3 linked regions of the Tamandua tetradactyla genome follow. The protein of the gene in region 1 interacts with the protein of each later gene in a biochemical or structural test. Links are inferred from orthologs where the notes say so. Each region holds a gene or a part of one and is shown in the gene's direction. Other genes may lie near its edges.

What was found.
Region 2: the proteins of OIP5 (region 1) and MIS18A form a complex in vitro, tested with the Homo sapiens proteins (3 studies listed by BioGRID). The link is inferred for Tamandua tetradactyla from reciprocal best matches to the Homo sapiens genes OIP5 and MIS18A.
Region 3: the proteins of OIP5 (region 1) and HJURP form a complex in vitro, tested with the Homo sapiens proteins (2 studies listed by BioGRID). The link is inferred for Tamandua tetradactyla from reciprocal best matches to the Homo sapiens genes OIP5 and HJURP.

Annotation. Positions count from the first base shown.
Region 1 is NC_135340.1:54,911,208-54,918,814, reverse strand, and holds the start of OIP5 (protein Mis18-beta), read left to right. Parts: upstream 1-4,567; 5' UTR 4,568-4,763; coding exon 4,764-5,085; intron 5,086-5,349; coding exon 5,350-5,416; intron 5,417-7,607. Other genes in the region: NUSAP1 (nucleolar and spindle-associated protein 1), read right to left, coding at 4,284-4,376. UniProt on the Homo sapiens protein: Required for recruitment of CENPA to centromeres and normal chromosome segregation during mitosis.
Region 2 is NC_135336.1:92,330,888-92,338,923, reverse strand, and holds the start of MIS18A (protein Mis18-alpha), read left to right. Parts: upstream 1-4,987; 5' UTR 4,988-5,062; coding exon 5,063-5,408; intron 5,409-8,036. UniProt on the Homo sapiens protein: Required for recruitment of CENPA to centromeres and normal chromosome segregation during mitosis.
Region 3 is NC_135329.1:210,914,140-210,921,681, reverse strand, and holds the start of HJURP (Holliday junction recognition protein), read left to right. Parts: upstream 1-4,493; 5' UTR 4,494-4,616; coding exon 4,617-4,712; exon of another isoform or gene 4,713-4,861; intron 4,862-4,909; coding exon 4,910-4,976; intron 4,977-7,542. Other genes in the region: TRPM8 (transient receptor potential cation channel subfamily M member 8), read right to left, coding at 4,332-4,383. UniProt on the Homo sapiens protein: Centromeric protein that plays a central role in the incorporation and maintenance of histone H3-like variant CENPA at centromeres.

The DNA of each region.
Region 1 (7,607 bases):
ATGGCTGAGAGAGGTCAAATAGAGTTGAGGGGCTACTCTGGAGGTTGCTCTTATGTAATCTTCAGTTAGATACTGTTACCTATCATAACCTGCCAAACCCCAACCAGGACCATTTCAGCCAATATTAAAGAACACCTGGGGCAATATATAAGAGTCCACAATGGTTCCATGTACTAGTGTAACTTCCGGAAACCTACAACCTCCAGATGGGTACCTGGACCAGGTAAGTCCTGAAACCTAAAGGGCTCAGACTCTCCAGAACATCAGCTAGTTCCATCTCCCTACCCTATTTTATTGACAGCCCCTTATAAGACGAAAAAGTTAAAATGACTATAGCCCAAATACCCCCAAATAGAGGGATAGAAAGATCAAAGGTGATGGTGGAGTTACACGGAGAAGATAGGATTCAACAAATGAATATGGTTGCTGAATCATTAAATCACAATCTCTTTTAGTCTCCAGTATCTTAGAGCAGCTACAAGTAAAAACCTAAAATTGTGGAATCGTAATCCACATCAAACTCTGAAATATATTCTATGTGCTTTGAAATTTATTGCTTTTCTTGTATATATACATATTTACATATATTATTTTTCACAAAAAAGAAAGAAAAAAGTCAATTGTGGTGATAAAAAATATTTATTCCTTCTAGCCTCCTGTATTCTGGAGCAAAGAAAGAAAAATCTGAGAGGATTGTATGGTAGCCCATGATAAACTCTGGGATCTGTCCTGTAACTTATTGTTGAAGAGTGCTTTGAAAACTATTTCTTTTTTATTTCTTTATTTTGCATATATGTTATATACAGTAAAAAAAAAAAAAGAAAGAAAAGAAAAAAGAAAAACATAGAAAAACCACTAGTCTGCGGATCAAAAGAGAGATCCCATCGGAGGTGTGGATTTGGGATGCTTGTAGATAAATTTCAAGTCATGAAAGTAGGTGAGATCATTAAGGTAGAGAGCACACTTAGAAAAAAATAAAGTATAAGAGAGAACCCTGTGATTCGCCACACTTGGAGAGTTGGCAGAGGAAGTCTAGGAGTCTATGAAGGAGCTGCTAGTGAGAAAGGAGAAAACTAAAGATCAAAGAAAAGGAAGGGCCTTGAGCAGAAGAGAGTGTTCAGTCATGCCACATGCTGCTGATAGGCAGGGGTAAGGATAGAGATGGACCACAAGCTTTATAAGAGGTGGGGCATGGTGGCCTCCTAAGAGCAATTTCAACAGAAAAGAACAGAAATAGGGCAGCGGATGGAAGAGGACATGGGGTCAAGAGAAGGTTTTTTTTTTTCTTTCAGCTTTTAAGATGGAAGTCATAAAGAAATGATTTCCTGCATTGCAGGAATGAGCCAGTGGAGTGGGAGAAATTGGTGGAGACAGGCACTAATTGCAACAGTACAGTCCTTGAGAAAGAGAATGGTTTCCCTAGCACAAAAGGAAAGGTGGGAAGGCAGATTACGCAGGTAATGCCTACTTGAAGATTTAGGGTCATAAACTTAAATTAAATTTAGTCAATAAAGCCAGGGTCAGCTGCTTAGATACAGGCTGGGATTAAGAACACAGCTGGATTTAATCAGGTTGGAGGTTTGTCAGGTGAATATGGGCGGTGATGTGCAAGTAAATGGCATTAGAGTCGATCCCTGTAATCTAAACTGGTAAGAAGGAGGTGAGGGCGTTAAGTGAAAAGAGAAAAGGACCCAGTGGCCAAATAATAAATACCAGTAACCACCTCCTCCGTTTTGCTTCTCCATTAGAAGTGTTTCAAAAGAAAGGGCTAATATTTTTTTCTTCTAAAATTTATTTTTAATGTTATATTTGTCAAATTTATTTAATTTTTAATCTGCTAAGTATCTAAAAAGAATCAAATTATGAAAATTTCTTAGAACTTTTTTCATTTTTTGTTATGCATTTGGAATTGAAAAAGGCAACTGTTTTAATGGACACCTGGGGTGTACCAATAGTGCATAATCGAAAATTTTTTATTATGGAAAATTTCAAACATGCACAAAAGTGGAGAGAGTACTGCAATGAACTCCCATGTACCAGTTGTTCAGTTTCAACAATTATCAACATCCTGCTGTTCTTAATTTCATCTAGTCTTCCCTCTTTTCCTGGAGTATTTTATAGAAAATCTAAATATATACATTTTACTTGTAAATATTCGATATATACAACTAACAGTGCTTTGAAAACTATTGCTTTTTCCTTTCTTTGCTTTGTATATATGTTATATTATACAATTAAAAAGTTAAAAAAGAAACATAACTTCAATACCATTACTATATGCAATAAAATTAGTATCAATATAATTCAATGCCTAGTCCAAGTTTAATTCTCCCCAATTATTTCATAGTGCCTTTCTACAGTTGGTCTTATTAATGAAAGCTTGTATGGTCAAGTTTGGGAAATGGTACCTCCCAACAAATATTTATGATCACCCACTATGTTCCAGCTACTGTGTTCTAAGTAGGTCAAGAGGACCTTAATATCAAGAATTCTGTATATCTCCCTAAAATGTCACCTCTATAGAACCAGGTGGCTAATGGGCTACCCCAGATCAGCTGTGTCAAAAGACAATGCTAAGAAGGACTTTTGGTAAAAAAATTTAACCTGCCAAACTTCTTCAGAGATCCAAGTGGTGGTAGGGCCTGAGTGATAGAGCTTTGAAACTCAGGTGGGAAGCCTTCACTGTAACTCTTTTGCCAAGGAAACTAATCTCTGGTGCATTATTCTAGCACTGTCAAGAAGAGACCGTAAGGAATAGTTCTGAATAATCATTCAGCATCTCTTACATAAAATGTTGGCACTTAATAAAGACTTCCAGGTGATGGGTGAGATTCGTGCCAAGGAGCTTAACTTTTAGTAGAAGAGATAACATACAAGCACAAATAACCAGAGTGGTAGGTGAAATCCTCCAAGTGCTCAAAGCATGTTTAAAAAATAACTCTTCTGAAAGCACAGAGGGTGTCTGGGATTACTGGGTGGTGGGCCTATGGCTAAAGGAATAAAGAAGTAGGGATGAGGCATGAAGTTGGGGAAGACATTTCAGTTGGACTGTAAAGGATAACTGGAAAATACTCATGCAGATAAAGATGAGTAAGAGAAGGGGGGAGCGTGATATGAGGGAAAAGGGTCAAACCGAGCAAAGGCACAGAGATCTAACGTTCCAGTTGTTCAGGGACTGGTCCAGTCGGATTCAATGGAAAATTAAAGATTCCAGTTAAACTGCAAAAAGTGTAAGGAATTTAAGCTAAGGAATTAAGACCTTGTTCATGAACTACTGAAGAACCATTAAATCTTAAAGCACAGAGCGCTAATTATTTTTTTAAGTCATTTAGAAAACATTTGTGATGTCTGATTTAAGTATTCATTCAGTGTAAATTCCACAGCCCACAATCAGAGTATTCATTAGTATTATGTGGGAAAATCTACACTATATAGAAAAGCAATCCCATATCGAATCCCACATCCCCTCCACCCCAACATTTTACAGTCTCGTGGTCAAAGACCTTATCGGTTTTGAAAAAGAACACCGCCACAGTAGTGATCAATAAATGAACAATTAAACTAGGTGGGGGTTCAATTATAAAAATATATCCGTTGTAGGTGACCCCCTAAAAGTCATTCTTTCTGCCAGGCCTCCAAAATAAAGTTTCAAAAAATTATAGGTGCTGGGATAAAAAGAAAGAAAGAAAGAAAGATTATAGGTGCTATTACAATTTACAGAAACGTTAACTATTTCTGGAGTTTTCCAGAAGCCGAGGCAATTATTTAGGCAACTGCTTACAAATTAACTGGCATTAAACGCAGCATCCCACCCTAACTGATGCCCTGGAAGATTCGTAGCGAATTTCCAATTAAAACCAAACCACAGGGCGGGCCGCGGTGGCTCAGCGGGCGGGGTGCTTGCCTGCTATGCCGGAGGACCTCGGTTCGATTCCCGGCCCCAGCCCATGTAGCGAAAACGGAGAAACAAAAAATACAATAAAACAAGAAAATGTAAAAAAAAAAAAAAAAAAAAAAAAAAAAAAAAAAAAACCAAACCACACCTGTTTGCAGCAACTGCCCTCGTGAGTCCCAGAAAAGTTAGGTTCAAAATAAGGTGAAAATTACGGTCCCCTTTTTCGCAGTTAGAGAGGACCCCGAGAACTAAAGAGCTCATCTACCGCCTCAGGAGCAGGACAGATCCCTCATCCCTTGGGGGCCCCGCTCGGTCCCTTCCCCCGCGTCTTCCCGTGTCGGCTCATCCGACCCAGCCCACGCAACAACAGGCGCCACGAACTCCGTACCCTCAGGTTAGCCCGGAGGCCCAGACTCTTGGCCAGGTTCTGCAGGTCACTGTACTTGAAGGAGTCCAGCTCCTCTAGGGAGGGGACGGTCATCGCGATCTGCAAACCAGACGACCAGGAAGTCTCAGTCAGCACTCCCTACAGCACAGTTCAAAACTCTGGCGCCACTCTAGGCGTTGACGAAGAAAAAGTACATAGACAGTTTAAAATAAAAAACGCTGCATGTCCATTGGTTAAAAAGGTTTCGAAGGCGGAGTTCCCTGACGTTGACCAATAGAAAGGCTGATTTCTCGTCCCAGAAGACGCACGCTCCTCCCCGCCTCTCTCCAACACACACGACGGCGCCGAGGGCGTGTGAGGTGCGTCCAAGCAACGACTGCACGGCAGGTCCCGCCGTTCACGCTGTCCAATGAGGACACAGAAAGCCCTCTCGGGGCGGAGCCTGGTGCTTGTTCGAAACTGAGGCGCCGGCTGCGGGAAATGGCGGCTAGGCGTCTGCGGCATGGGCCGCGCTATGCAAAGTTACCTCAGGACGACTTTTGTGATGATGGAGCTCAGAAGGCGATTGACACACCTTCTTTTACTACCATGGAGTGGGACACACTGGTGGTGAAGGGATCCTCGCCGCTCGGCCCCGCAGGGCTGGAGGCGGAGGAGCAGCGAGGCGGCCCGCGGCTGCCTTCGTGGCTGAAGCCCGAGAGGTGCGCGGTGTTCCAGTGCGCCCAGTGCTACGCGGTGTTTGCTGACTCGGTGCACCTCGCTTGGGACCTGTCGCGGTCCCTCGGGGCCGCGGTCTTCTCCAGTGAGTGGGGGGGCGTGAGGGGAGGCGGTGTCCGGGGAAGGCAGAGGCGGGCCGGGGAGGACGTTCCGGCTTTCTCCACCGGGTGGCGGAGGGGTTGGTTAGGGAAGAAGATGGGATGAAGAGTTGAAAGGAAAACCTCCCTTTGCGATTGAGGGCGTCTATTCAAGATAATTTTATGACCACGTCAAATTTGCCTTTAAAGGGAATCCTGTCCTCTTCCACACCCCTAGAGGCATGGATTCTGACTTGTGCTTGTCTTCCTAGGAGTCACAAATAACGTCGTTTTAGAAGCCCCCTTATTAGTTGGCATTGAAGGTTCGCTTAAAGGAAGGTATGTATCGGGCATTCTGGATCCTTCTCTAGTTAGTAACAGTGCAACGGAGGAACTTGGAACTGACATGCACAAGGAGAAAACTTACTGTTTTGCGTTAGAAGAAAAGTTTATTCCATTAATATAGTATTTTTGAAGGAAGCTCTTTTTACATATTGGAGTCTTGTATGAACTTGATGTATTAATAAGGTGTAAAAGTTATATTTGTATGTAGGTTTTAAGATCTGCCTGATGGCCACATCTCCCTGTCGGTGTGTGCAAGTGAAGCTAGACTAAGAAAGATATGTTCACTAGGGGAAAAAGAAGAAAATAACCTTTTGGTTTATAGTGAGAATAACATACTATAAATTTCAATCCTTTGAGATAACTAGGGCTATTTAACATGGAGTGAAATGAGCTATACAGGACCCATTCAGTCTGTAACCTGGCAAACTGGGGGAACCATAAGTTGAGTGTAACATACTTAAATACTGCCTGTAAGATTTTCATCTTGCCTGTATTACAAGTGACACTATAGTAGTGAATTGATCTCACAGTGCTCTTCAATTTTGAATATTGGATTCAGCAGCAAGACACTTCATTCTGACCATAGGTTGGTTCAGTTTTAAGGTAAAGTGTAGTTGTTTTACTCAGTAACCAGGAGGAGTTTTCCAGCCTGAATAAACTTCCCAAGCTATGTTAGACCATAACTCTGTTTTTCCCAGCTGAAAGTCTCTATACTGGCCCCTTTTCCTCCCCAAAGGGACACAGAGAAAAGATGGGAATTGGGTGGTTTGGGATCAGAGGTAGAAGCTCTCTGAATATCCTGTTAGGGAGAAGGAAAGTGCATCTAGACTCGTGCTTATACTGTAACCACTAGCCACATGTGGCTTGTGTGCACTTGAAATGCAGCTGTTCTATGTTGAGAAATCCTCTAAGTGCATAATACACAACACATTTCAAAGGCTTGGTACCAAAAAAATTTTTTTAGCCATGGGAATTGTGGAGAAGACTATGAAATGGCACAACTCAAGATGCCTTGGTGCTCTTTTTTTAAGAGAGTGTTTTTTCATTACCTAGACAAGTGTTGGAGACTGGGTTAGGAGAATAATTACTAATGTGGCTGAAGAAACATAGGACTTGGGGGTGAGAAGACTTAGCTTCTTCTAACTTTACAGCTTAATAAGACATCAAGGATCCATCTCAGTTTACATTATTTGTTTAATTCTAAAATGTACGTTTTTTCGCTTTTAAACATCCTGAAATTGGGATGAGCCTTGCAGTTGATGGCATGTTGGATTCAGAGTCATAAGATAGGTAGATCCAAGTTTCATTCTTGCACCAGAACTCTATTATTCTGTTACTCAAAAAGGATTTCTTGTAACTGCTTTCAAAAGGCATTATTATTACAGTGTACTGACACTCAGAAAAAGCTTTGTTATCCAGAACCTTTGTTGTACATAACACAATATATACTTAAATGGATTTTAAGTAAAATACATCTAAAAAAAATTACTATGGCAAATTTCAAATATACAAAAGAGAGGAAAGTATAAGAAACTTGTATGTACCTGTCTCACAAGTAGGACAGTTATCAGCTCATGGCCAGTCTCGTTTCATCTGTAGTCATATGCTCTCCCCCCCTCCTTTTTATTTTGAAGCAAGTACTTTAAGTCATAATTCCATCTGTAAGATACTATAGTGAGAATCTCTAAGGTCGGAACTTAATTTTTTTTTTAGAAAGAACCCAGTTCAAAGTAATGTACATTATTGGGAAGCTTCTTTTCGCAGTAAGCTAAGATAGGAATTCAATAATATTTTGAGACTGGCTCTTTTTTTAAGCTTTTTATTATGGAAAACTGTAAACATACCCCAAGTAGAACTCTATAACAAGCCCCAATGTCACATGTCGCATCATTTCAACAATTATCAATATTATGACAGTTTTGCTTCATCTACACCCTGACTTTTTTTACCCTGAAGTAGTTTAAAGCAAATTCCAGACGGCAAATCAACTTTTCAACTACTTTTTGGTATTCTTTCCTATTTTCTAGATTCATAGACTATTACTGAATTATTTTACATATAATCTAGTTGACTTCATTTTACAGATAAGGAAACTGAGAAGCAGAGTATGCTGATGTATGGGAAGCATTTTCCTTCCCTGAGATCCTCCAATGTCTGTAATCCAGTGTCAGAATGAAAGGCCTAA
Region 2 (8,036 bases), on another chromosome or scaffold:
GTCTTAGTTTGCCAGAGTTGCTATAACAAACACCATCGGCTTGTGTTACGCAACGAGAATGTATTGTCTCACAGTTTTGTAGGCTAGACGTCCAACATCAAGGTACTGGCAGGTCGTGCTTTTTTCACAGTCTGTAACATTTCTTCAAAGTCTATAGTATTCTGATGGTTTTTTTTTTGGCAAACCATAACTCAGTCTCTGCTTCTGTTCTCCACCTGTCTCTTCCTCTGGCTTCTCCTTCTCTGTCCAAACTTCTGTAGCTTCTAAGGACTCCAGTCATACTGGATTCAAGTCCACCCTAATTCAGTTTGTTCTCATCTTAGTAGCATCTGTAAAGATTCCATTTACAAGTGAGCTATTACCCACAGGACTAGGGGTTGAGATGTGAACATGTCTTGTGGGGGACATGATCCAATTCTCAGCATGTTCTGTGAGGTCACTCACCTGGTGTGTCCCTCCATGGAAAAGTGTCCTTATAAGGTAGCAAACTCTTCACAGCTCTTTACTTCTGGGTTTCTGTACCATCTCTCTCCCTGCATCTTGTGGGTTGAGGGACAGTGTCAGCTTCAATGCCAGTGACCCAAGCTCCTGCAGTAATCTTTGGGGTTGTCCCACATGCTGTCTCCACTTTTGTCATTCAACACTGTAAAGAAACTGTTCTCATAATACTGAAATTTGAATGTGCCACCTGTTTTTTGTGATGATTCTCTCAGGAAGTGCACAATTGACAGCCACTTTAGTTGCAAACAGAATCACTACGAAGACACAATAGCATACATTCCAAGGCATTAATTCACATTGAATCTTCATTCAAGGATAATCATTTTCCCCTCCCCTAGATAGGACTTACAGGTGGGCTTCCACCTTGTGTGGGAGGAGGGTGTGTGACTAGCTCTTCCCTTTCTTACTTCACCTCCTTCCTCTTGTTTCCATGGCCATCTAGGCTGACATTTCAGGGAATGAAGGGAACAGGATGGTTTCTACTTGAACTGGTTCAGTCATATGCTGGTTTTGCACCCTCTGGTCTGATACATGGTTAGAAGTGACTCCTGTTGGCCCCTCAGAGATTCTTTGTTGGGCCCCCCAGCATTCCTATGATCTAGGGAGGTCCACCCTTGGGCTGGCTTCTCCTCTCAGCCCTGGTTGTCCAGAGACCCTTTTCACACCAGGACACTTATTGCTGGAAAGCCTTCATCCTTCCAAGTTTTCTTCTTGGGCAGATCTTAAAACGGTTCTATGTTGCCTTACAATCAGCAAAGTTTAGATCTGGTTTACAGCCGCTCAGACTCACCTTTATTTTGCCATTTAGACAGCTCAACAGCCTGGCTTTCTTGCTGGCCATTTTGTCCCCAGATTCCTGGGAAACCACAGTTTCTATGAATGGTTCCTCAAAGCCTCCTCTCTGCCAAGTTGAGCAAGTGGCAGGTACCTTCCACCTTCTCTCTTGGGGAGGAGTGATGGAACTTACAGCTCAGCAACCTCCAAGGAAATCCTCACTAAGTAATTTTGATCTCCATTTTCTCCCATCCTTTATGTCCTCCAAGGCAGGAGGAGGTTCAAGAGCAGAAAGGAAATAGCTCTCAGATATTTACTCTGAAGTTTCCACCAGGGGAGGAGAACACTATCTCATTGGCACTTGGGCATTTCATTTTCACCTCCTTTTGGAGTCTCAGTAAAATATAAACTTTAATGCACTGTTAAATACATTTTTGTTGCTAGTAATTACGAGCAAACAACACAAAACTGCTCAAGCTGGCTTCCACAATAGAGAGATTCTGTTGGCTCACATAACTGAAAGAGTTCATAAGTTGGATGCTCAGTTTCTTCATGATTTTCTCAACTCTACCCTTCTCCTTGTTTTATAAGATGGTTGCCTAAAGCAACCTGGGTATGTGCTTTTTTGTTCACCAAGAGGACATCTCTTCCCTCAACCGTTGAACAAGGTGTTACTGAGATTTACTCTGATTGGGCAAGTGCTCACCCATGAGCCAATCCCTATAATCAGATTGGCTTCAGTCTGGGGTAGGTGCCATCCTTCTACCAATCATTACAGAAGAGAAATGGATCATCCTGATTAGGTCAAACCACTGGGGAGCCATTCTTGGCATTTGGGTGGTGGTGGTGGAGGAGGTAGCTGGGGTTGGACTTGGTCTTGCCCAAACCTCCTAGCTGGGTAACTAGAAGGAAGAGTAGAAATGGAGGTTCAGGAGGCAATAACTACCCAATCCAAGGTCTTCTTCCCTCAAGCATCCAAGTTTGCCCTCACATAAAATGTGATTTTTTTTTTGGAACCTAAGTACTTTATATTCATAATACAAGCATACTTGTGACTCTAGAGGAATTTGTTTTGTTTTAAGGCCAAATTCTCCAAAAGGCACAGGAGGCACAGTATTCTGAGCCCACGATATTTTTAGAGGCCAGTGAAAATGTTTTGATTTCTTTTAAAATCTGAAGGAAAAAAACTCAAACTCTTAGGTCAAAGAAAATATTTTCATATATAATGTGAACATATTTGTCTTTATAACAATGCAATCACAAAATGTAACTTTTAATTTTTCATTTACTTTTTTTTGGAGGGAAGGGACCCACCAAAGCAAGGTGCCTAGGGCCCCTGAAAGTTATCATGGGGCCCTGTTTTGTGTTTCTTCTTTACTAGGATATCTCACCACAGAATTGAAGTGTTGACAATAGGAATCCAAAGTCTGAGGCAAAGATAATCATCCCTTGAATTACAAAGTTACCACCCACTTACTTAAAGAGGACATTGCGGGTTACAGTGTTGTACCAGAGATACCATGTTTCAAAAAAGCAAGAAGCTCAGGCTGAGCTTCCCAAAAGAAGCAGAGGGAAGGAAGGCAATTCTATGGGTGAAAAAAGGAGTATCTATTTGGAGTATTTACTTGCAGTTGGAAATTAGTTAACACCAGTATGGTGCAGTAGAGAGTGGGTGTATGTTCATGTCTGTAATATCCTTTAATCCTCTTAAGATGCCAGGCAGTAAGGACCGATTTAACTGATGAAATATGAGATTCATTGAAGGCAAATGGCTTTTTTTTTCACAGTTATCCACACAGTTATTACCTGGTGGAGGAGTATGTCAAACTAGAACATCTGACTTTATAACTTTTGCTCTTTGCTAGGGGCCAAAGGCACTAAAATTGGAAGAAAGTTTATGTAAATGGTCTATCTGATCAAGCAGAGTGGCAGTGACTTGGGGCACTTAATCAAAACACCAAAGAGTAGTTATAAGGAGCGTAGGTCCTGGGGGGTGCCTTTTTCCTCTTCTATGCTGCCAGGTGGTCTGCAGTACAGCTTGGCTTCTTTTCTACCAGTCTTTCTCCTCTGACCTGTCATGCATTTAAGTCAGAGTCTGGCTTTCTGGGGTAACTGAAGAAATCTGTCCTTACTACCCAAGAAAGATTATTAAAAACAAAAAACTTTTCATGTAATTTAGGATCTCACAGCTTTATTGAAATTCATGAATCGGGCAGAATTCCATTCAGAAAGAAGGGAGCTCCACCAACGGGGTAGAAAGAGGGAGTTTATATAGGGCAACCTGAAGCAAGCAAGGAAGTGTTCTTATTGGCTAGCATCAAGTTTCCATGTCATGTGCGGTGGGGGTTGCATCCTACAAAACGCAGAGCATATATACATTGATTAGTATGGGAAGCTTGTCCATTCTGATAAGCAATCTCTACCAGATCGAAGAAACTGGGTTATCACCATGTGTTGCTAATCTGCAACTCTGTAGGGATGTGTTCCATTTTCTCTGAAAGCCTCTGCAGGTCAATTGTTTTTGTCTTCTGGAAAAGCTGTTCTGGGAAAGAGGATCCTTCCTGGACACTTAATCCAGGTGGCCATTTTATTTTACTTAACAGCATGCTCACCCGCTGGAAGGGGCAAACAGCTGTCTGCTTCTGACTGCTGAAACACTTCCAAGCTTTCCAGCACCACACTGCCCAAGCAGCTTCTTCTCTAACTTTTTCCTTACAGTGCTAGTTTGAATGACCTGAGGTCCTTTCCAGGGTCTTATTTCAGGAACAACAATGAACAAAAGGAATGACTTGGATTAGGTGGCTCCCCAACAACCCCTGCTTTCTCCACTTCAAACTAAGCCTCCCCACCCTCCCTGCAGTCTCATCAGACAAACTGAAAGAATGGAGGCACTCAAAAGTGGATCTGCCAAAATATTGAATTAAAAAAATAAAGTGGATCTGCCAGATTGGGAGAAGGATCAATGGAGAAGTAAGAGTGTCAATAGAGAACATAGGATTTAACAAAATGAGTATGACTGCAGAATCATTATATGGATATTTCGTTTAGTTTCCAGTGTCTTGAAACAGCTGGAAGGAAAACCCTAAAATTGTGGAAAACTAACCCATTTCAAACTCTGAAATCTGTTCTGTAACTACTTGTAACAGTGTGCTTTGAAATGTATTGCTTTTTTGTGTATATGTTATATTTCACAATAAAAAATGTTAAAAAAGAGAAATGCATACGAAAATACATGAACATAATCTTAAGAGAAAAGTTGTTGCTGTAATAAAAAAATTAAAATAAAAGTGGATCTGCTAATACTGGCAACATGGACACCGAGGGAGTTTGTTAAAATGCAAATGACAGGGCCCCTAAGAAACAGAATCTGTGAAGGAGATCTATGTTTCAATCAGTTCTCCAAGTAATTCTTCTGCACGCTCAAGTTCGTGGCGGTTGCTTTATTGCAAGGAGAGAAAAGGTCACAGAGGAAGTGGGGTTGCTGAAGGAGAGATTGGTTGCTGTTACTAACCAATCGGAAGGTCCTCGCCAAGGGTTGGTGATTTAGTTTGGGGCCGGTTATTTTCTGAAAGCAAACCATCCCCCAACCTTCCCCAAACTCAATTTCTTAAACATGAAAAATGAGCTACAGGCGCAGTGACCACTACGCATGCGCGCTAGCAGGCTCCGCCGTCAGGCCCCGCCCTCAGACGTCAGCCCATCTCGGCCAGCTTCGCCTCGCCCCGCCCCACGCACGCGCAATGACGATTTTCCCTTGGTGCTCTAAGGCGCGGGCAGTTCGTAGGTAATGGCGGGCTCTTCGTCACTCGGTTGCTGTAGAGGCTGTTCCTCCCCTAGCTGTGCGTGTGACGTTAAGGGCAAGTGGAGCGACTCCTCGCTCTTGGGTAGACGGCTTTCAGAGGACTCGAGCCGCCACCTGCTGCTGCAGAAGTGGGCGGGCATGTGGAGCTCCTTGAGCGGGAACCAGCGGGCGGCCGGCGCGGAGGAGACGCGGCCCGAGGAGATGGCGGAGGCTGACGAGGAGGAGACGGAGAGGCCGCTGGTGTTCCTGTGCTCCGGCTGTCGGCGGCCGCTGGGCGACTCGCTGAGCTGGGTGTCAAGCCAGGAGGACACCAACTGCATCCTGCTGCGCAGTGAGTCCGGGCTGGCTGGGGACTTGGGGCCGCCCTCTTGGGTGTTCCTTACCAGCGCGGCCGGGGAGGAGGAGGGGGTTTTTTGGGGGGCCGCCCTGGGACTTTAAAGGCAGAGAAATCTAAAAGAGTGAGATAATCTAGGAAAGAGGGAAGGGGAAAGTCACCCCTATACCTCGGGCTCACGAGAACTGGGTCCTTTTCTGGTGTCCTTCATCGCTGAAGAGTAGGGGTTGAATAAGCATCTTTGTGAGCGTTAACTAAGAAATCAGTTGCCAACTAGATTGTAAGCGTTTGGGGTGTAGCCATTGGATCTTACTCTCCATAGACACTAGGGGGCTGCTAATTAATTAATAGATAGTATTTGTTAGTGGTTTAAGAAATCAAGCTTTTTAGCTAGCTGCTTCCTGCGGAGGAATGTCAAGATTGATTTCTCAGATCTTACTGCTTGTATCAGCGAATATTTTTACAGTTCCAAGTGTTAACAGCCTTAGCAGACAAAATAGTGCTGTGGTAAAAGAAAGGCTTGCAGTAAAGACACCAACATCCCCATCAAAACTGAAGAAGAGGAGGGAGTGAAAGAATTAAGAGGAAGGCAGTACTCAACTCAGTTTGTCGCTTCTGCAGTGTTTTATTTATTTATTTGCTGTATGGTGGGGGTCACATTTCAGTCTTTTTCCATGTGATTATTTTATTATTGCAGCACTATCTGTTGAATTGTTTTTTTCTTTTTGGGAAGTGCATGGGCCACAGTATTTGTTTTAAAGAGTGGTTTTATGTGGTTCTTTTTTTCTGAGTTGGTATAAAAACAGCATTCTTTTGGACCTGTGGTTTTTCAAGATGAGGTCTATTCTCTGAAGTTCTTGTTTAAATTCTACAAATATTTTAGTGGTAGAAATACATCATCAATTCATTGACGTTTGTAGGGAGAATGTTTTCTGGACTGTAATTTTGGGAAGGAAATCTTTTTTCTGCCATTTTCAATACAGATGCTGATTAACACTTATTGCTGAGTCCTCTACAGTAGTTAAATATAAACCTAAGAACATATAGATTTCATGAGTGATGCATTGGGATTAACCTTTAGCACCTATTAAAATCAAACAGTGAAGAAGAGTATAAAAGTAAAAAGGATCCTTCCACCAACCCCCAATACATTGCCATGTCGCAGTCTTCAGAATGCTTTAGTTTCATTTATACTTCCATATACATTCCATGCATGTGAGTATGTTTTGACATGTCTTTTTAAAAACACTTGAAATCATTCATCCTCTTATGCATCTTCTTTTCTTTATTCCACATATATGTTCTGAATCTTTTTTCATATTGATGTATATAGATACATTTCATTTTTGAGCAGCTTCTTGCTGAGTGTTGATATAGTGTGGTGGAGCCACTGGCCTGCTCCTGTTAGAATTCTGGCCCTGCCACTTACTGTCTGTAACCCTGGGCAAGCTCCTTAATGAATGTCTGTATACCTCAGTATCCTCCTCTGTAAAATGGGGACAGTACTTGTGTGCAGTAATTGATCAACTGAAGACAATTCTAGAATAGATTCCCCCCCCCATGAAAGACGAAGACATTAATTCCCATTCCCTTTTTTCCCTTCTGTCCCAGTTTAAGTTAAATTATTTTACTATGTCAAGATCATAGCATTTACATTCTATTCTGTAGCTTTAATTCGTGGGTCCCTTAATTGTAGTGTAATATTTATGTGAATTCATTTCTTAATTCAAGTACGCCTAACAGTTCCCATTCTTGAATTACATGTTTTGATTAGTCATAAATGAGTACACTTTCTCCAAGAAAACTCCAGGTTTGAGTGCTTGAAAATATCTTTCTGTTGTCTTTATACATGGATGTCAACTTGGCTGCAAGTACAATTTTTTGGTCATGCTTTTTGCTTTTTCTAGGCATAGGGAACAACTAATGGAAAGAAAGTCCTTGCAGCTACTGTGGCTGAAGAATCGAATGAAGTTAAGATTTAAAGTTAAATCTTTAAGGGGACAAAAAATTCGTGTCCTTGTAGGCTATTCTAAGGAATAGGGCTTGATTCTAGTGGCTGGTAAGATGGGGTGAAATGATTCAGATTTTATTTTGTCTCTGAGGAAGCATTGAAGGGAGGAACAAATGTGAAATTGGTAGGCCAGTTTGGAGCTAGTACAGTAGACTGAGCAAGAGGTGTTGGTTGTGGTTTGTGGATGGGAAAGAGAATACATTGGAGAGAAGTTTGTGAGGTAGAATGGACAAGATTTAAGTAGAGCTGGTATGGGAGAGCAGGATGAGATGGAAGAATCACAGATGACTCTAGGTTTCCTGATTTGAGCAACTGGGTGGCTGGTGGTAACATTTTACTGAGTTAAGGTAGACTGTAGGAGGAGGTGAAATCATGAGTCCGTTTTGGCCATGTTAGGTCTGATAGGTTCCTGCCTCATTTTCCTCCATCCCTTAACCTTGTCTCAGTTTGTCAGCTGCTGTGACAAAAGCCACACAGTGAGTTTGGCTTAAACAGCAGGAATCTACTGTCTTGCTGTTTTAGAGGCTGGAAGGCTTGCTTCCTTCCCGGATCAGTAATGTTCTGGTAGGCAGTCCCTGGGTTTTTTGGCTTTCCTGTCAGGTAGTGGTGTCCTT
Region 3 (7,542 bases), on another chromosome or scaffold:
AAAATAATTACTAAGGGCTCTTTGACTCTTGTAAGCCTAGCTACAGAGGACTGCGTCATTTCCACGAAGGCACTTAATTCAGATAGAGGTTAGAATGACAGAAACAAGTGTTTCTGACCTACACAGGACTTGTCAGTGCCTTCTCACTATCCCCAAAGTTAGTCTCATTGCTTTCTAATTGTCTGAGACTCTAATGGGGGATTATGATGATCTTGAGAAACCTCACCCTTGAAGCTGTCCATGAGTTTCCCACAAGATTCTTCCAGGAGGCTCCCACAGGGAGATCAAACCTATCTGGAGCTCCCATATCCTGGCACCACTACATAAGCTAATATAACTAAGAAAACTGTGTCATATATCTTCTCCCATGCCAAGAAGGTAAACTGGTAATTCCCCTTTGCTGAGGATATTATTTAATCTTTGAACAGACGTAGTCTTAAGCAGTCACTTGTATTGCTCAGCTGTTATCAGAAAAGGTTCAGCTTTAAGCAACCATGGGTTTACACAAACATGGAGTAAGATGAATGTTAGTAAGGTATTAACTGTGAAAGGGATACAGCAGACCGTCCAAAAATTAAAATAAACAACCCCACAAATCTTCTACCTTCTCCCTAGGAGAGGATGCAAAGACCTCAGTTTCAGTTTCCAGTTCTAGTTATTTCCTCTACATTATTATACAACAACCTACTTTTATTTTTTAATGACCAATTTAAAAAACCAAACTTGTAACTTAGCTCCCCCCATGAAGAAATCAGAAACACCTTCTTTACTCTTCTACCAACAGTTTAACTGTTGTTTATTGCCAATCGATTTTTTAAAACTTTGTAGCATTTCTTTCAAGAATTGCAGCAACGTTATTCTGCTCAACAAGGTAATAACAGTTATTAACACTCAATTCTATGTTTAACTACATTCAATTTTACCTGATAATCTTTTTGTACCACCATTTTTGAGCTCTTAATTTTGATCCAATTTTATGGATTATGTCTACAAGTAAATTTTTCAAGAAAGGTTTCTAAGTGCTTTAATTCCTGAGTCTTTATATATTTAGGAATTTTTTCCTATTGCTTTTACTCGAGTGATGTTCTGTATGGATAAAAATTCCTGTATCACATCCTATTTCTCTCACATCTCCATTAATATCCATCCACTGACATCCTTGGGTTCTTGACAAAAAAACTAGCTGACTTTTTTCATATAGGCGCTGTGCTTTCTCTACCTGGATCCTTATGGTTAAAAAAAGAAAAATGTAATCCTTAAGGTTGATCTGCTTCATCAAGCTATATCTTGGTCTTGATTTGTTCTCTACTGATTTTCCTGGTACGGTAAACCTTTTAGATGCCCAGATTAAAGTCTTCTTCTATTTCAGACAAATTCTCTTCTATAATTTTTTAAATATCTATTTTTCTTTTTTTTTTTCAGCAACTGTGCTAGTTTGAAACTATGTACCCCAGAAAAATCATGGCCTTCTAATCCAATCTTGTGGGGGCAGAACTATTGTTGGGTGGGACCCTTTGACTAGGTTATTTCCGTAGAGATGTGATCCCACCCATTCAAGGTGGGTCTCAATCCACTTACTGGAGTTCTTTAAGAGAGAGACATTGTGGAGAAAGCTGAGACAGAACGTTCTAGGTGATGCTAAGCAAGAACCCACAGAACCTGAAGGACCCAGAACCTGGAGAGAGCTGAGAGAATCTAAGAGATGAAATCTAAAGATTGCTCCAGACAAGCTAAGAGAGGACCCCCATGGACACTTAGAAAAACGACCTGGAGACGCTAAGAAAAGACCCGCAGGACGCAGAAAGCCACTGGAATCAAAAGCTGAAAGCAACGAACTAGGAGCAAGGACCAGCAGGTTCCAGTCACATGCCTTCCCAGCTGACAGAGGTGTTTCAGAGGCCAGCGGCCTTTCTTCAGAGTTCAGGTATCATCTTGTTGATGCCTTAAATTCAGACACTTCATGACCTTAGAAGTAGAAATCTGTAATGTAATAAAGCCTCTTTGTAAAAGCCAATCCATTTCTGGTATATTGCATTCCAGTAGCTTTAGCAAACCGGAACACTTAGCTTCCAAATACATCCTCTTTTTTCTCTTTTCACTTTTTAACTTTGCTCTTTTCCATTGTGATTCTCTTGTGATTTTCTCAACCCTCTCATTAACACTCCTGTATCTGTTTTTCAGCTGTAATAATCTTCTGTACCTGATGTGCCTTTCATTTCTATTCTTCCAACCCCTTTCTTTCCTCAGGTCTTGCAATTCACTCACACCATTCTGTTATCACATTAGCTCTGCTTTGAGCTCTGGCATTCTGTTTCTTCTAAAAATACCTCGTTTCCTAGAATTATTAGGCTTCCAAAGCATATTCCTCATCAGCCTCCCCTCCTCTACTTCTCTTCTTATCCTTCTTTTGTAGTGAATTTGTGTTTTATGCTGTTTACTGTCTCATCTTGATCAGAGGAAGAGAAGTACAGTTCTATTCAAGCCGATTCTCACTCCTGCTATTGGGCTCCTCAGTCCAGTAGTACAGATAACCTAATAGTCCCAGGAGCTCATTTGTAGCCAACAAACAAGCTCCCACAACCTTAGTGACTGAGGTTCCCCTTCTCCCAGCCCCCAATGGAGCAGCCAGAGGGCAGGGCAAGAGCCCAGAAGCAGAGGGTCAGCAGACAAGAGGTCCTCAATGCATGGGCAACTTGAAAGAGGACAGTCTCTGGGCCAGGTACCTGGGATCAATTACCAGGTGAACATCCACACAGGAGGATTTAAGGATTTAAGTTATAAGGCTGGGGTCATCTTCACTGCCTTATTATAGTGAAAATGGGTACATTCTGAATGGCCATTAAAAAGGATCAGTTAAGTAAACCATGGTACCACCAAACAGTGAAATAACATAGATGATTTAGACCTATATGTATTGTCATTTGAAATACACTAATGGTATATAAGTAAAAGACAATTTACATAAGAACACAGACACTTGCATTTATATATATCTATACATCTACATATATGTCTATTGACATACATGTACATATTCTATATGTCAAAATGTGTTTATATAAGCATAGTAAAATGTTGAACCAATCTTAACAAAGTGATGTCTCAGGCATGAGACTAGAGGGGGGATTATGGATTTTTACTTCCTGTTTTTAATTTCTTTACATTGGACATGTATTATCAGAAAAGAACCACCAGGACATTTCCATTTTAAAAAGAAAGAATGAAAAAGATGATTCTGGCAGCAGAGGACACACTAGAGAAGGGAGATCAGAGGCAGGGCAGAGCCGATTTATCATGGAGCTAGTGAAAGTGGTTCCTTCCTGCACAGCCCCTACAGAGACTGGGGACACACAATCCTTAACTACCATAAAATTTGCAAAAGGGTATTTTAGCCACAGTTGGGACCAGTTTCTCTCCCCTTGCCCTCCCTTATTCCTCTTTGTCACACCTCCCTCCCACTAGGTGGAGTAGCTGACAGCAGTTTTGCCAGCCAGAAAAGAATACAGAGGTGGGAATATACTGGGTTTTGTAGGATATGTTTACATTTTAAAAAGTCATTTTGCATGTGGTTACTATAGTTCTTGGCTACTAAGACTGTGCAGAAAAGGCTTCCAGGAAGAGCGTGCCTTCTACTAGGGCAGCTCTTCAAAGTCAACAACTCAAATACTGTTTGAGATAAAACACTGCAGAAGTTAATCTGAAATTCTACAAAAATCTTATACCACACATATGAAAGAAAATTGAGTCTTTCCCATCCTTGAGAACAGGCCTAAAAATCTACCCGACATTTCCAATGAGCTATTACGCTGAATAAAACTTTCCTAAAATGTCAGTGATAAAAAATAAATTTCCAGTAACCATACTGGAGGAAACACTGAATTATCTATTGTCTAGAGATTTTGTTACCTGAGCAATCTCGCATGAAGAAGCAGTAGTAAATGCAGTTTAAAAATAAAAATAAAATAAATGGGTGTTCAGGAAATTCTTAATGAAGATACTCTTTTCCGGACTCTATCGTGTCCGTGGCATTTGGCATTTGTAAACGTGCAATGTGTTGGGGTTTCTTTTCTGACTCTAAGTGACTATTCACTTCCTGCCTCCTTTCAAATTCGTAACTTAGTCTATCTAGCTTTTCTTAGACCCCTCCCACCTCCAGCCGCGCCAGGCCCGAGGCGGGGGCAGGAGGAAGCCCGCCCAGGGCGGGGGTCTGGGGTGACGGAGGACGAGGGGCCACGGTCAAACCAGCCGCCTGACATGTCCAAGCTGCAATTTTCTCACATGTCCAACGTTTGAAAGGACCGGATTTCACAGGATTCTCGCGCGGAACTAACCGTTAAACGGCCCGGAAGCGACCGGAAGAGCGACCCGGGATTCTCCCGTCATCCAACGCGCGCCTCGGGGACGGCGGGACCCGGAGACCCGAGCGCAGATTGGCTGGGAAACAGGGACGTAAACAGGTTTGAAAGAACCAATCAGCTCCCCGCAACACAACGCCAGCCAATAGAAAGCCCGAAGGGCGGCCGGTGGGGGTGCGTAGCGGCTTCTTTGAGCTGAGGGCTGAGAGGGGGGCGCTCGGTCGGGTAGGCGTTGGAATCGAGGTGATACCGGCGGGCGCCATGGAGGACGAGGCTCAAGAGGAGGCCATGCTCGTGGGGAAGCTCCGGGACAGCCGCCGCCGCTTCCAGAGGCGCATGCAGCAGCTGCTAGAGAAGGTGCGGCGGGCCGCGGGGAGGGGTGGGTCCCGCGAGGTGGGAGCTGGGCGAGAGTCGGCGCTGAGTGTCGCGGTTGTCGGAGGGGGTCGGGAATGGGGACCCCAGACTTCCGGCTTTGAGCTGACTCCTCCTCGGCCGGAGTCAGGGACTCCTCGCGACCACCGGATCTTGACGCGACGCCCTTTCCTCCCCCGTAGTACAACCGGCCCTTCGAGGACGCCCCGCTGGTGCAGATGGCCACGCTGACCTACGAGACGCCCCAGGGTACGAGGTCCCCCCTTTGAGTGGTGCTTTCATACAGTCTGAAATGCCCTCCGTGCCCTCTTAGGAAAACAAACTCGTAAATGAGGTATTTCCAACAGTTTCTGAAGACGAGTAGATGCATCTTGGTTCAGAATGACCCTGCCTGGGCTGGCATCCTAGGCATGCCAGCTCGGCCCCGTTGCTTGGTCTGCCTCTGTCTCATTGTCTTTGTCTGTAAGATGGGGAGAATGATGACAGTAATTTCAACCCGGTGTGGTGGTGTAAGTGTGATTTACAGTGTTTGTGACTCTCTTAGAACAGTACCTGGTAATAGTAAATTGTCAGTCGAATGTTATTTGCCCTGTTTGACTTGGAGTGTTACCTAGAGTCCTTGAGGGTCTACTTGAGAATTAATCTGAATGTAGAGAAAGCCTTTCCATTAAATGGTTAGTGTTGCAAACTAGCCTAAACCAGTCGGATCACCTGCTAGTCATGGATTCTTCTCGGTAAATAGCTGGAGAAAGTTCACGGTGGCTGAGCTAAGTTCCTCCCATACCGCCTTACATCAGAATCGCTACTAATTATAATGAAAGCAGATCTAGATCAAATTCTGCCTGGCTTAAACAAGCAAGCAAAAACCAGTTCATTGCTCCTGTTTGTTAAATAAGGTCTTAGCTCTGTGTCATTTAGGCTGATCCCATAATACATGAACCTAACAAGAGGTGGAGACAGGTTTTTTCCCCTCTCCTGTCTGCATCAGGCCATGGGAAATCCAACCCAGAGGCGGGACACAGTAGCATAGGAATCGGTTGTGCAGTGCCGCTCCTAAGAGTGCAGACAACAGGCTGGGCTATGTTCTGGCCAGGAGGCCAGTGTCTAGAATGGTTTGGCCTCTCCACAGTTTTTTTGTTGGTTTGTTTGTTTTTTTATTGTGAAATATAACATATATACAAAAAAAGCAGTAAATTTCAAAGCACACTACAACGATTACTTATAGAACAGTTTTCAGAGTTTGTATGGGTTACAGTTCCACAATTTTAGGTTTCTTTTTCTGCCTGCTCTAAGACACTGAAGACTAAAAGAAGTATCAATATAATGTTTCAGTAGTCATATTTATTTGTTAAATCTTCTCTTCCCTATTATAACTCCTCCTTCTCCTTTGATTTTTCTCCCGATCTTTAGGGGCATTTGGGCTATGCCCATTCTAGCTTTTTCGTGTTGGAAAGAGCCGTTGATAATGTGGGATAGGGCGATGGAACTAGTTGATATTCTTGGAGAGGCTGACCCCTTTGGGTTTCAGGACTTAACGTGGCTTAGGAATCCAACCCATCTGTACTCCGCAGGTCTTGAGGACCACTGATTTCACCAGTGAAAGCTCATTTCAGACTCCAGTTTGAACAGTTGAAGCACCTGAACACCTTGAGAGCGGTGCTTCTCCCACTTCAGCATGGAAAGTCAGATTGCTTGCTAAAACAGATTCCTGGGCCTCACTGCTGATCCAGTGGAGAACCCAAGAGACTTCACAAGCTCCTGGGGTCCCCTGACCTCATGCGGAGAGGCATTCAGTCAGGGAAGGGGCCTTTCTCCTGACCACCTTGTAGTGTGAATTCCTGGTTAAGACAACACCATAGGGTCTAGATTGAACCCCATCAATTACATTGAGGATAGCAGGGAGATAATCATCGTTCCTGTGTAGTGACAATTTACCATTTTGCTTGACACCCCTAAGAGTTTCCTATTTTGTATTGTCAACAACTCTACGAGGTAGTCTTAGAATCATCACCACTTAACAGGGAAAGATACAGCAGAAAGAGAAAGGTTAAATAACTTGTCCCGTATCACTTAGCCAAAGTGGCAAAGCCTCAATTTGAGTCAGAGCCCGTGTGCTCAGGCATTACTGTTCTGGAAAGGCCAGATGCCAGAGCAGCGGTCAGGAGCACAGAGTCTTACTGCCCATATTCATCTCTTGATTCTACCACATAGCAGGTGACTTTGGGCCAGGTATGCTTTTCCCTGCCTCTGGGTCTCCATCTATAGCATGAGCATGATAAGTCCCTATCATACAGGGCCTTAGAGGTATTGAATTGTATCTGTCACCAGCTTGACATGAATACTGAACAGGATCTGCCTGGAAAGTGCTAGAACAGGTCCTGCCACCTAGAAAGCACCATACAACCACAGCTGTGGTATTATCACTGACAGCCACCTCAAGCCGCTCAGTGCCATGATCCTTTCTTAGTTTGCCTTTGCCTAGTAGAAAATGTAGTTTTAAGGCAAGATGAAGTCCTTCACCCCTTTCTACCTACTATAAAGATTGTCCTCGATATATATGTATTTGAGGGCAGTACCTGGCTTGTGTATGTTCCTTGATTCCATTTAATTTGATGGCTCGATGATGTAATTTGATGAGTTGCTGTCTATGAGGTAGGAGAAGTTTTCTGTAATGACAAATGTTTGCCTAATCTTGATTTTTAAAAAAAGCCTTAACATCAAAGGTTTAATGGACTATATCAGAAGTCTGGCCTTTGCTTGGCCTGGGTTTCTTTGAATGCAGGTTTAGTAGAAACTCTGTCTTCAGATGACTAAA